3 linked regions of the Danio rerio genome follow. The protein of the gene in region 1 interacts with the protein of each later gene in a pairwise test. Links are inferred from orthologs where the notes say so. Each region holds a gene or a part of one and is shown in the gene's direction. Other genes may lie near its edges.

Region 1 (4,646 bases):
ACATGTCATTTGGAAGTAACACAAATTCAATTCAGTTATTTCTGTAGCGCTTTTACAATGCACATTGTATCAAACCTGACACCCACACAATCGCTTGTAATTAATTTTTTTTTTGTGAAAATATAAACCTTTGTTTACAATTCTAAAATCTGTGGCTCTGTGCTTCTGGTTTATGACCCCCTTTATGATGGTCTTTCTGTGGACATCAACTCTTTTTGCATGAAACTCACACTACTAGCGATTTGAATATTATTGTTAATTTGGTGAACACATTCTGTCCTGTACTGGAAAAAAAACGTGAAATTGCAAAGAAAAATCTGCAAAAAGATCAACCTCGTTATAGCGAGGAACCACTGTATACATATATTGAAAACCTGTGAAGGACAATTTATTTTTTACTCTCAGAAATTGACTCACTTTATTTAGAATTTCAGGGCAAGTGTTTGATTAAAAATCCAGAAATATAAAATTTATATTAATAAAATATTAAACGCTTTTAAATAAACAACTTTTTACAGGTCCAACATAGAACTAAATAAATATCACTAAATTAAATACTGCGTAAACATTGTACTTTCCAGATGCCAACATCTCACAATGCTGTTATTCATGATTGTGTCTGCATCCTCGTAATGGCGTGTAGTATTGTGCGCATATAAATTATGAAAAAGTTTTTTCAGCTTTGTTTTCAACAATGTTCTTTGAAACCACAAAATAAACATTAGATCATAATATTGAACTATAGACTTGTATAGTTTAAATGCGAGTTGTATGAATGGAATTTTGATTTACTATATTTGCCATTTTTACCTTTAAATTCCTCCATGTGTAATACAGTCTCAGTGAAAGTAGTAGACCATTCTGGCAATTTTCCCCCACTGTTTTACGATTACTACACGTTTGAAAGCACTATGCACTTCACATACTAAATAGTAGAGAAGTAGGCTAGTTTGAACTTTGTTATACTAGTTCTAGTGTGTTTCTTTGTGGTTTTAGTTAAATGCTTCAGTACAGAGCTCCTCCAGACATGTGATCGCCTGTAAAATGTTTCTTTACAGTTATAAAACAAATAGAGGTTTTGTCTGGGTGTTTAACCACACATCTTACCATATCTTACTTTATTCTAGCAACATAAATACCATGGCTTTGGTCTTTATGGACTTACAAAAATATATTTGTTTAATACAGTGTCACTTTGGATAAATGCATTTGTAAAATTATAATGCAACACATGCCTCTGCATCTCCCTAAAATCTTGATCCAGGAACATGTGTAAATCTTGTTCAACATCCATTTTTATGGTTAGCAGTGCTACACTTGGAAGCAAAACTATGTTTGTTTGTTAACCTTTCAAATCCACCAAGCCTAGACTACAAGCCTAGAAAGGCATTGAGGACGTGGTGCTAGCTGTTGTGCTCAGGCTAATTTTGGCCTCAGTTGTTATACTCGGAGAGCTGCTCCGTGAGGAGGCTAAAAATACTTGGGGCTTTATCAGAGCAGATGTGTTTACTAGCAGATTCTAAGCCACCTACATACACACACAGCTCACTGTCTGTCCGCACCCCCACTCTGCTTTCTGGCACGGTCCTGGTTCTCCCACACGAGACGATTTACTGCGCTCTGATCCTGCCACGCTGCTCCTTTCTTATAGTCTCTTTATTCCTCGCTTAATTGATGTCAGTGTTAAATCAGCAATCAGTCTTATTCATTTGCTCCCCTGTGCTGATTTACAGATACTTTTTTGCCTCCTATTGATTGCTGTGTAGATGTAGGTTATATATAGCGGTAGGGTGTTACAGCTGGGTCACACGCTCCTATCTTGCATCCATTGCAAATCCTATACTTCTCTCCACAGGTCGTCCCATACACATTTACACTTTGCTCTGCAGATTGTTGCCATAGGAACACTCCTGTAGCAGACATGCGCCTTGGCCCTCTGAGTCCACTCTCCATGTCTGGCTTTAAAGAAAAAAAGCCAATGCATGACTATCTGTGCATTTTACTCATGCCAAAAATAGCTTCCCCAGAGCCCCACGTCTGACTTATCGGTGCCACTAGATGGCTATATCTGAGCCACTGAGGGAGAAGAGACATTGCCAGGCACACTGCGCTGCTCAGACTCTTTCATAGCTCTATTTGAAGTTCATGCTGCTTGAATCAGCAGAATCTGGATGTACCTTTTATCCTGAGGCCACGTTTTAAAATGTCTATTGATTCATGTTGAGGAAACAGAGGTGCTCATGTGCATTAGATGCCATCTGATCAGTGTTTCTGTGTGATCAGTGTTTCCTGAATTCCTTCTTCCTATGGACATTCACAAACTAGCACAATCTTTAGTGATTGGAACTACACCTCTAGGCCTGTTGGTAGCATAGTTCCTTGCTGTTATTTTCTGAGTTATCACCCTATTAATTCCACACACGTCAGCCAATTTGAGTAATTTTGAAAGCTTAAAGTTTTCTTGTTCACATTTGATGTAATTTCCAGACAGAAGAATTTTTTAGTTTTAGTTTAACGATCCTCTGACTGGCAATTGTGGTCTCTGCTTAGTGCACTAATGGCCCATTTCCACTGAGTGGTACAGTAAGTGCCAGTACACTTTTATGGCCATTTCTACTGTCAAAAGCAAAAAATTGGTACCTAGCACAACAAAAGGGTACCAAAAATCACAGCTAGACATGCAGCTAAAGCTATTGGTTTACAGAGAAATGTCACTAGCGCGTGCACAAGCCAGGAGAACAAAAACAAAGGAACCGCCATTTTCAAAAAACATAGCTGAGACATTACACCATGATAAATATATACAAATAATAACAATAACAATCTGAACCTGAAACGAACCTTTTCTTCATCTTAATGAACAGCCACAAACCCAAGAAGAAGAGCAGAATCTACATGTGTCCTGTTAGTTACGAGGTCGCCTAAAGCACGAGTGGTTTCACTTTCTCCAGAGAGCTCGCATGCGCGTCTGTATTTGAAATAAACCTCTTGAGCTAATGATGATAATAACGTGCACGTCATTATTGAAGTGCTTCTGACATCTGATCCTTTCAGAAACGGACAAACACCAGAGTGAAACTTGAAAAAACAGGAGCAAGTGATTCTTTCAGCAACGTAAAACATGAACAATCTGCCATGTTTAACCATCATCATCACCTTTTGGATTATTATGAACCCGGAATGACTTTTTTACAAGAGGTTAACATTACATGTGCTGGTGAAAAATAAGATGAGAGGTTTGGACTGACTGTATTTGTTTTAATCGTTTATGAACACAAATAAGGCCTAAATGTAAGTTTTGGGGAATTGTTTATTTGTAATTGGTAACATTTTAGAGACTGTAAGGGTCTGTATGTGTTCATAACTGTTTTATTTTATACAACCGCAGATGATACAGTAGGCTATTTCACATTATCATTGATCTGCAGCTTTAATCAAATTCTGTTCATAGAAAGGCAGTAATACACATATGTTTAAATAGCATTTGTTTAGTAAGGAGTGCTTCTCCTACGATATGTGAATTCAATCAAGAATGACGTCGACTGCAGGTTTCTGTCGAACGCCACGTCCACCAGAAGAGTACCATTGGTACTCTTTGGCAGTAGAGACACGAGCCTTAAAGGTGACCCATACTGAACCTTACCGTACTGTACCACTCAGTGGAAATGGGCATGAAAACATTTATGCTACTCTTAATGCAGCAGTGGCATCTGTTCAGATAAAGCAATTGCCCCTTGATCATCATGGAAGTTTTGCATTTACCTAACCTGGTTCAGACAATCTCCAACAGAGTTTGTAAAACATTTGTGACTACATAGTTTATTTCCCAAATGATGCCTCGTACTGTGGTGGTTTAGCTACGTGTTATACTTCATTGTTTGGGAAACACACCCCTGCTCATTGTTGTTCCTTGTAAGTGCAAGCAAATCCATTACCTTTGGCCATCTGTGTTAGCCAGTCTAACTCTCTTCTCTGTCTCCTCTTGTAGAAATGAGTCGCCAGACTGCCACAGCGCTGCCCACAGGAACCTCTAAGTGTCCCCCTTCTCAGCGCGTTCCAACTTTGTCGGGCACCACAGCATCCAACAGTGACCTCGCCAGCCTGTTTGAGTGCCCGGTCTGTTTCGACTATGTGTTGCCGCCCATCCTGCAGTGCCAGAGCGGCCATTTGGTGTGTAGCAACTGCCGGCCTAAACTCACCTGCTGCCCCACCTGCAGAGGCCCGCTTGGGTCGATCCGTAATTTGGCAATGGAGAAAGTGGCCAACTCAGTGCTTTTCCCCTGCAAGTACGCCTCATCGGGCTGCGAAGTCACTCTACCGCACACAGACAAAGCTGAACACGAGGAGCTTTGTGAATTCCGGCCATACTCTTGCCCCTGTCCTGGCGCCTCCTGCAAGTGGCAGGGATCTCTCGACGCCGTTATGCCCCACTTGCTGCACCAGCACAAGTCCATAACCACACTACAAGGTGAGGATATAGTCTTCCTGGCCACAGACATCAACTTGCCTGGAGCAGTGGACTGGGTCATGATGCAATCCTGCTTCGGCTTCCATTTTATGCTTGTGCTGGAGAAGCAGGAGAAATACGACGGCCACCAACAGTTCTTTGCCATCGTCCAACTGATCGGCACACGGAAACAAGCGGA
Region 2 (4,646 bases), on another chromosome or scaffold:
TCGCGGGTTGGACCCACTTTTGCCTTCAGAACTGCCTTAATCCTTAATTGTGTAGATTCAACAAGCTACTGGAAATATTCCTCTGAGATTTTCCTCCATATTGACATGATAGCATCACACAGTTGCTGCAGATTTGTCGGCTGCACATCCATGATGCCAATCTCCCGTTCCACCACATCACAAAGCTGCTCTATTGCATTGATATCTGGTAACTGTGTAGGCCATTTGAGTACAGTGAACTCATTGTCGTGTTCAGTCTGAGATGATTGAGCTTTATGACATGCTGCGTTATCCTGCTGGAAGTAGCCATCAGAAGATGGAGACACTGTGCTCATAAAGGGATGGACATGGTCAGCAGAAATACTCAGGTAGGCTGTGGCGTTGATGCTCAATTGGTACTAATGGACCCAAAGAAAATCTCCCCCACACCATTACACCACCACCACCAGCCTGAACCGCTGATACAAGGCAGGATGATCCATGCTTTCATGTTGCTGAGGCCAAATTGTGAGCCGAGCATCCGAATGTGTCAGCAGAAATGGAGACTCATCAGAGCAGCAACGTTTCTCCAATCTTCTATTGTCCAGTTTTGGTGAGTCTGTGTGAATTGTAGCCTCAGTTTCCTGTTCTTAGCTGACAGGAGCAGCACCCGGTGTGCTCTTCTGCTGCTGTAGCCCATCCGCCTCAAGGTTGGACGTGTTGTGTGTTCAGAGATGCTCTTCTGCAGAGCTCGGTTGTAACGAGTGCTTATTTGAGTTACTGTTGCCTTTCTATCAGCTGGAACCAGTCTGGCCATTCTCCTCTGACCTCTGGCCTCATCAACAAGTCATTTGCGCCCACAGAACTGCCGCTCACTGGATATTTCCTCTTTGTTGGACCATTCTCTGTAAACCCTAGAGATGGTTGTGCGTGAAAATCCCAGTAGATCAGCAGTTTCTGAAATCAACAACCATGCCACGTTCAAAGTCACTTAAATCCTCTTTCTTCCCCATTCTGATGTTCGCTTTGAACTGCAGCAGATTATCTTGACCATCTTGACTACATGCCTAAATGCATTGAGTTGCTGCCATGTGATTGGCTGATTGGAAATTTGCGTTAACGAGCAGTTGAAGAGCTGTACCTAATAAAGTGGCCGGCGAGTGTATATCATAGATACATTATCAAAAAAAAAATTTGATACATACAGAAATAGGAAAATGACTAATATGATTATAAAAACAATAACCTCTCTCTCTCTCAGACTCAGATTTAGTGATAAGCAGCTCTTCCGGCGGCTCCTGTAACCCAGTGGTGGTGACTCTGGCGGGCCCCAATGGCTCCTCATCTCCTCCTCTGCCCATGGCTCCGCTGGGCCTGCAGGACGGAAATCCTCATGTCATCCCGCGCCGGCACGCTCCTGTGGAGGCTCTCGCTCGCCAAGGCTCCTTCAGGGGCTTCCCGGCGCTCAGCCAAAAGACATCGCCCTTTAAGCGGCAGATGTCGCTGCGCATGAACGAGCTGCCCTCCACCATGCAGCGCAAGTCTGACTTCCCCATCAAAAACACTGGTAATGCCCCATCAGCAGCTACATTTTCATCATATTTAAAAAAAACAACTTGTTCACACCAAACACGGAATTAGGTTACACTTTTAAATTGCATACAAGTCAATTCAAACGGGAAAACAGAAACCGATGCGGATTAATGTTCCATGGGGCAAACATCATCTACTGTTAAAAACTAGCCTAGAGCGCCATCTGCTGTTAAACTAGCCTAGAGCACCATCTGCTGGTAAACTATCCTAAAGCGTCGTCTGCTGTTAAACTAGCCTAGAGCACTGTCTGCTGTTAATAACTCGCCTAAAGCGCCATCTACTATTAAAATCTAGCCTAGAGCACTGTCTACTATTAAAATCTAGCCTAGAGCACTGTCTACTATTAAAATCTAGCCTAGAGCACTGTCTGCTGTTAAACTAGCCTAGAGCGCCATCTACTGTTAAAAACTAGCCTGGAGCGCCGTCTGCTGTTAAACTAGCCTAGAGCGCCATCTACTATTAAAAACTAGCCTAGAGCGCCATCTACTCTTAAAACTAGCCTAGAGCGCCATCTACTCTTAAAACTAGCCTAGAGCGCCATCTACAATTAAAAACTAGCCTAGAGCGCCATCTGCTGTTAAACTAGCTTAGAGCGCCATCTGCTGTTAAACTAGCTTAGAGCGCCATCTGCTGTTAAACTAGCTTAGAGCACCATCTGCTGTTAAACTAGCTTAGAGCGCCATCTGCTGTTAAACTAGCTTAGAGCGCCATCTGCTGTTAAACTAGCCTAGAGCGCCGTCTGCTGTTAAACTAGCCTAGAGCGCCGTCTGCTGTTAAACTAGCCTAGAGCGCCATCTACTCTTAAAACTAGCCTAGAGTGTTGTCTGCTGTAAAACTAGCCTAGAGCGCCATCTGCTGTTAAACTAGCCTAGAGCGCCATCTACTCTTAAAACTAGCCTAGAGCGCCATCTACTCTTAAAACTAGCCTAGAGCGCCGTCTGCTGTTAAACTAGCCTAGAGCGCCGTCTGCTGTTAAACTAGCCTAGAGCGCTGTCTGCTGTTAAACTAGCCTAGAGCGTTGTCTGCTGTTAAACTAGCCTAGAGTGTTGTCTGCTGTTAAACTAGCCTAGAGCGCTATCTACTATTAAAACAAGCCTAAAGCGCCATCTACTCTTAAAACTAGCCTAGAGCACCAACTACTATTAAAATAACAGCCTGGAAAAGGGACATCCTTCTGTCTGTGTGACGATGCTGTAGTTTTCATTAGATGATATAAATGTGTGTGTGTGTGTGTGTGTGTGTGTGTGTGTGTGTGTGTGTGTGTGTGTGTGTGTTTGTGTGTGTGTGTGTCAGTGCCGGAGGTGGAGGGTGAGGTGGACAGCATCAGCTCTCTGTGCACTCAGATCACGTCCACCTTCAGCGGGCCTCCTGAAGACCCCTTCTCCTCTGCACCCATGCCCAAACCAGCCTCCTCACCACAATCACCTGCCGCTCCAGGTCAGTGTGTGTGTGTATATTACAGCTTACATCAATGCTTACTCCTTCACTAGTCTGCTGTTGGCTGTTTATCAATTTTAAACCAGCGTGTGGTTCATTACTACATCCCTGTAGAGTAGTGGCAGAGCTAATCAGCTAGTCTTTGCAACCCCTAGTGTGTGTGTGTGTGTGTGTGTGTGAACGCCTGCGTGTGTGTATGTGTCCGGCTTTGTCTCTAATCTTCTGGTCCTGTCTGCTGCTGTAGTTAATGGCGCAGTTCCTGCCTTCCCTCCGCCTAGCGTCACTGTAACCACTGCAGCTAACTCACCTGTGCTGCCGCCACCACCGTTGCCCGTCCGCGAGACTAACCCCTGGGCCAAAGCCCCAAACACAGCCCCGGCACACGCAGCACACACAGGTAAGAGCACAGGCTTCCTGCTGGCCATGCAGAACAAGCGCTCACTAATGCATCTTGCTTTCAGTGTTAGGGGCCGACCACACCAATTGCGTTTTTTGCGTTGAATGATTTACTAACGGCCGCGAGCGTTTTGCATGCTGATGATGAACCTGCGCACCTCGTCCTTTAACCGCCTGCTGCTCCTCAAGTTTTTGCTGTTGCGCTCTGTGTGCTCGCAGGTCAACTCTGAGCGGGAAAAGCGCGTTACGTCAGTCGCGTCTGTTTCATTGTCCAATCAAATGAAAGCAGAGGCGGGATTTCCATCGAGGTGCCTGCAGTGTTTGTGTTGTCATGATGACTATGGAGACATTTGAAGATGGAGGAGAGACGTGTGGTTGTTATTTCGAGTTAGCCAGTGCTGAATGACTCACAGATCTTGAATGTCACAATATTAAAAATTACAATTATAACAATATCAACAGCAACACTCGTGCGCAAAACTCAGCTGATTCAGTGGTTGCCTAGCGACAAAAATATTGACAAATAGACATTGGATGCATCTGAAACCGCCCACTACTCAGTAGGTACTGCATTTGTTTTTAAACGTACTACTCAGCCGTTAGAAAAGTACGTTCTATACAGTATGAATGTGAAAAGTATGAACGGAATTCGGACGTAATACATCCGCCATTTTGTCATGGTCACGTGACCTACCTGCGTCAGTTGCGTCACTTCACTCCCATTCATGAATTATCTTGCGGGGCATCATGGGATAGCGCAGCATGCATGGGATGCACACTCCAGAATCTCGCCGGAAGTAGTAGGTCATCTGAGTACTTCTCGTATACTGAGTTTTAAATTCTACGAATTCGTACATACTACTCTGCTCGCATACTGATCTTAGCGTACTATATAGTATGGAAGTATACGGTTTTGGACGCAACCATTAACTGTTTCTCAATACCAAGTACGCAAAGTTCGGACTTGTGTCCTTGGAAGTTTCGACTTGCCAAGTTTCGACTTGGAAGAATTAACTCCAGAGGACGCGAGGACACAAGTCAGGTACTACTTCAAATGGAGCGCAGCGTACTTTATAACACCACTTACCTCACCATGGATTCATCGGCTTTACTGTACATTAACAATAAAATGATTTAATTACATAAAGCAGAGCCTTATAATTAATATTACATTGATATTATAAATCTACATGTTTGATTTAAGAAAATGTAAACATAAATGACTATGAATGTGAAGTGAA
Region 3 (4,809 bases), on another chromosome or scaffold:
TCAGGGATGCTCAACCCTGTTACTGGAGATCTACCTTTCTGCATAGTTCAGCTCCAACCCTGATCAAACACACCTGAACCAATTAATTAGGACATGGACAGCACTTGATAATTCCAGGCAGGTGTGTTTGATATGGGTTGCAACTGAACTCTGCAGGAAGGTATGTCTCTAGGAACAGGGTTGAGCAGCCCCCTTGTATTAGATACTTAAGCTAAAATAATGAAGCAGATTTTCTATTGTTGTTAAACAAGGACTGATTCGTTAAAGTTATTTAAATTGAAAATGTTAATGAGATCATAGCTTAACAATGATTTAATGGTGAAGTTTGTAGTTTCTGCAGTACTAGGGTTAGATACTTTAGCTCAGGGGTGGCCAACCCTGTTTCTGGAGAGCCACCTTCCTGCAGATTTCAATTGCAACCCATATCAAACACACCTGCCTGTAATTATCACGTGGTGTTCAGGTCCTAATTAATTGGTTCAGGTGTGTTTGATATGGGTAGCAACTGAAATCTGCAGGAAGGTTGCTCTCCAGAAACAGGGTTGGCCACCCCTGCTTTAGCTAAATAACAAAGCAGATTTTCAAACCATTTTTGTGCTCAACTCTCCCTTATATGATAATTCTTGTCTTTATCGTATGTTACTGTTTCATAGAACATTTTGAGGGATGTAAACAAAAACAATGGTCCCAATGTATTTCCTGTTTTACATTTTTAAATTCTATATCTTCTGAGAATCAAAAATGAGCCACATATTGATAAATAACGTTATGATAGCTGTTTTAACATTAAGTAATGATTGAATTGCCTCTTGTTACAGTTATGAAATAGTGTGATAACAAGCAGGGTTGCCCAATGACATGACCACACTGAAATGGTCTATATTCTGTAATAAAGGCTTGTAAAGTTTACCTTATCTGTGAAGAGAAACCATCCCTACTGAAAAAAACAGCTTAAACCAGCCTAGGCTGGTTGACTGGTTTTAGCTGGTCGACCAGCCTGGTTCTAGAGGGGTTTTGGCCATTTCCAGGCTGGTTTCCAGCCTTTTCTAGCCTGGGGTCCGTTCTTCGTACCTCGCTTAAATGATCTAAGATGATTTGGCAGATCCTGGATCTTTTAATCTTGATAACTGATCTCTCGCTAATTTGGTTCTTCAAACGAGTTTGCGAATCAGATTAGAATGTCTGGATAAACTGATCTGAGATCGCTGAAGGACAGATCTATCGATCCTCGAAATCATGATCAGCAATGCAACGATTGGCTGACGGCACAGCAGCGTAATGACATCATCTGATTAATATTCAATTATCCATGTGAGCAAAATGACATCAAATTAGCAGTAAACGGCTTGTTAAATATGACACGCAGTAACTTCACATTTGTTGTGAGCTGCAATTTCCACTTTCATGTGTCAAGTGTATTCATCATGTATTTCAATGCAAATCAATGTATTTAGTTCCACATTTAGAAAATATTTTCTTTATTATAGTTGCCGTTTTTTAATCGGCGTAAAGAATAACTGGTTGTTTACAAAAGTATTTTCATATTGGTAAAGGCAGCTGCAACTTTTGTGAAGCATCAAAATCACCAGCATATTAACTTTCAAGTTTATGACTGCATAAATGTATTATTGCTTTAAAAAGTCACATATGTGCATTTTTATTATACACAATTTGTACTAAAGCGATCTAAAAAGTTCATATCAATAAGTTTTCTCTTTGCACCACCAGGTGGCAGTTGTACTTTCATTTCGAGGGTGCAGATTGCATACGTTTAATTAATATGTATAACTTAATTCATTTTATTAATGACTATAACTTTATATATATAGTTTAAAAAATATGTACCATTTTCCCAAGTGTATATAACTACTACTGTAAGAAAATACCAGAATTCGGAACATACTTTCTGTATTATCTTTGCTTGAACTGAGCCGATCTAATCCTGTTTATATGATTTGAACCTGCTCCCGATCAGGTTTGACCTAGCAGAACTGTTGCTATGACAACAACTCTCGGATCAGCTTCTAAGAACGAAACGATCCTGGATCGTGTCAAATCGTCAACATCCAAATCCAGCTAATTGAGTAATCCACGTACGAAGAACGGACCCCTGGTCTTAGCTGGTTAGGCTGGAAAATGACTAGCTAAAACTAACTTGACCAGCCTAGCCAGCTATGTCCAGCTTAAACCAGGCTGGTCAAGCTGGTTTTAGCTGGATTTGGTCATTTTCAGCCTGACCAGCAAAGACCAGGCTGGATATGGTTGGAAACCAGCCTGGAAATGGCCAAACCCCTCTAAAACCAGATTGGTCAACCAGCTAAAACCAGCCAACCAGCCTAGGCTGGTTTAAGCTGTTTTTATCAGCAGGGATGTACGTTAGGTGATTCAAATTAATCCATTCCATCAAACGTTTATCATTGTTTTACCTCCCATGTAAACAGTCATGGTCCCAAAATGTCTGAACTCTGAACTGACTCTGTATAATACAATAGCCACGGCCAAAACTCTCCCAATTGGTTGAGTTGGAAATTGATTGACAGTTTTTAAACTTCCCTTTCTCCCTCTTTTGATGAAGTCGGAGAGTCTGTTTTCAATTTTGGACCGATAAACTCTTTAGTAACATAATTACAAAAGTCACTGAACAATAAACTGCGTTAAGAGACTTTGTTTCGGACCAAAATGCTTATGCTGTACAAACTACTTTGGTCTTTTGTTGACGTTTATAAATGTTCGTCTCACTACTGCTCTCTGCAGGATCAGCAGTGTGCCTACAACACTTCAGGAGTAGCAGCCAGCTGTAGAGGCTATAAAGAGATTCCTCAGGGTAACGAGAGGGCACTGACCGCCGCCGTGGCCAATGTGGGACCCGTGTCAGTTGGCATAGATGCCATGCAGTCCACCTTCCTGTACTACAAAAGCGGTACTTAACATCTCTTCTACAACTATATTGCCTGTAGTTCCATGTTGTTTTGCTGATATGTGTATAATAAAAGTCACTAATAAAACCCAAAACTCACTGACAGGTGTATACTATGACCCAAACTGCAACAAGGAAGATGTCAACCACGCAGTGCTGGCTGTGGGCTACGGAGCCACACCGAGAGGCAAGAAGTACTGGATTGTGAAGAACAGGTGAGAAAAATATTTGTTTTTCATGAAAATATCACTGTTTAACATCATAAAATATTATTTAAAAATTACAGGTAATTTATACAGTAATTTACATTATACAGTCAAATAATTGTGTGTAAATATAATATAAAAAGACACCTTTTTTCTGTTTTTGAAGCTGGGGTGAAGAGTGGGGAAAGAAGGGCTATGTCCTGATGGCTCGTAACCGAAACAATGCTTGCGGTATTGCAAACCTGGCCAGTTTTCCCGTCATGTGAGAGCTGGAAGAACTAGATCAAACTTGTCTGCTGCTGACCAGTACCAAAAAAGGGACTCAATCACTATCACTGCAACATGAAACCATGCTTGGGGAAATGCTTTCAAAAAGAGGCATTTGATTTTAATAACACAAGGTTGTGGTCCTATTTTGTCTTAGATGTCTTGTTCTTTATCCAGCAGTAAGAATTGTTTTGTGCAATATTTGAGATTTAGAAGGGAAGTTTTGATATTGAGTATGCAGTCAGTTTATATTTGATTCTTTCTTTCCTTTTTTTATTCCCCTGGAGGGATCGGATCTCTGAAACACGTGTTTTATGATGTTTTGATTAAAGAAATTACTTTTTTGACCATTAATTCTGAGTGCATCACATTTGAGTACATCAAATATGTCTGATGTAAGTTTTTAAATTACACTAACAGACTGATAGCGAGACAGTTTCACATCTCTGTACAGAAACATTGTTGAAATAAAATCTAAACAATAAAACTTGAGTGCCAAACCACCTTTATTTTGAACTTTGAGATTTTGTCCTACAAGCTAAAGAAGGTTACGAAGTCTTCGGTTTTGTAGAAGTGGAAGAGAAACCACCAGATGGATTTGGGGAAGTTGAAACCAAAGGACGTCAAGATGAATTTTAAGACAGCACGCAGCTGAAAGAGCTAATCTGTGCATGTAATCTGATGTTCAAACAAAGAAATGATGACAGTTACATGTTAGTTAAAAAAGAATCTTATGATCATAACTGAACCACTTCCTCATGAACAGATGAGTGACCCAGCGTTCCCCTTTATAAATTTTGACGTTGATTCACTTAAAACTGATTAAGACATAAAATCTTTAAACAAGTGATTCAAAAATACAATTGATGTAGATTCTGATGTATATAGTGTATTAGAATAATACTGTTGTGTACAAATAACAAGTACACTTTAAATGTAAACATGAAAAAAGCAATATGATAACTGAGATACCTAAAAATGACATTATTACATAAATGAACATATCAGATACACAGTGCTCAGCATAAATGAGTACAGCCCATTTAGAAAATAATTATTTTGTTTCCATTTCTCAGTGAATAAAGGTAATATATATATTGGTGCATTTGAACAACACAGATTCATTAAATAGATATTAAATACATAAAGTATATATATAATAACGTAATATTTTAGTTACCATATTCGGAAAGATCATACATTTAAATTCATGCTAAATATTGCAAAAATAAATTGCAAACTACAAAATTTCAACAAAATTGTACACATTTGTTTGTTGTTTCTCTTGATTTTAGCTATTTTAAAAAAAATTATTTTATATTTTCTCTAACATAAATTTGAGCTACTAATTTTTGGACCGTGACCGTACGTTATTTTGCTAAAGCTCCAGATTTGGCTTTAGGACTTACTAATCTAATG

The links. The genes of interacting proteins can lie anywhere in the genome.
Region 2: the proteins of siah1 (region 1) and numb interact in a two-hybrid assay, tested with the Homo sapiens proteins (2 studies listed by BioGRID and IntAct). The link is inferred for Danio rerio from reciprocal best matches to the Homo sapiens genes SIAH1 and NUMB.
Region 3: the proteins of siah1 (region 1) and ctsk interact in a two-hybrid assay, tested with the Homo sapiens proteins (2 studies listed by BioGRID). The link is inferred for Danio rerio from reciprocal best matches to the Homo sapiens genes SIAH1 and CTSK.

The regions. Positions count from the first base shown.
Region 1 is NC_133193.1:19,852,929-19,857,574, forward strand, and holds part of siah1 (E3 ubiquitin-protein ligase Siah1), read left to right. Parts: intron 1-3,988; coding exon 3,989-4,646. UniProt on the Homo sapiens protein: E3 ubiquitin-protein ligase that mediates ubiquitination and subsequent proteasomal degradation of target proteins.
Region 2 is NC_133192.1:57,926,382-57,931,027, reverse strand, and holds part of numb (protein numb homolog), read left to right. Parts: intron 1-1,240; coding exon 1,241-1,546; intron 1,547-2,865; coding exon 2,866-3,009; intron 3,010-3,253; coding exon 3,254-3,406; intron 3,407-4,646. UniProt on the Homo sapiens protein: Regulates clathrin-mediated receptor endocytosis. Plays a role in the process of neurogenesis.
Region 3 is NC_133191.1:32,638,183-32,642,991, forward strand, and holds the end of ctsk (cathepsin K), read left to right. Parts: intron 1-2,754; coding exon 2,755-2,920; intron 2,921-3,023; coding exon 3,024-3,132; intron 3,133-3,289; coding exon 3,290-3,389; 3' UTR 3,390-3,894; downstream 3,895-4,809. UniProt on the Homo sapiens protein: Thiol protease involved in osteoclastic bone resorption and may participate partially in the disorder of bone remodeling. Displays potent endoprotease activity against fibrinogen at acid pH. May play an important role in extracellular matrix degradation.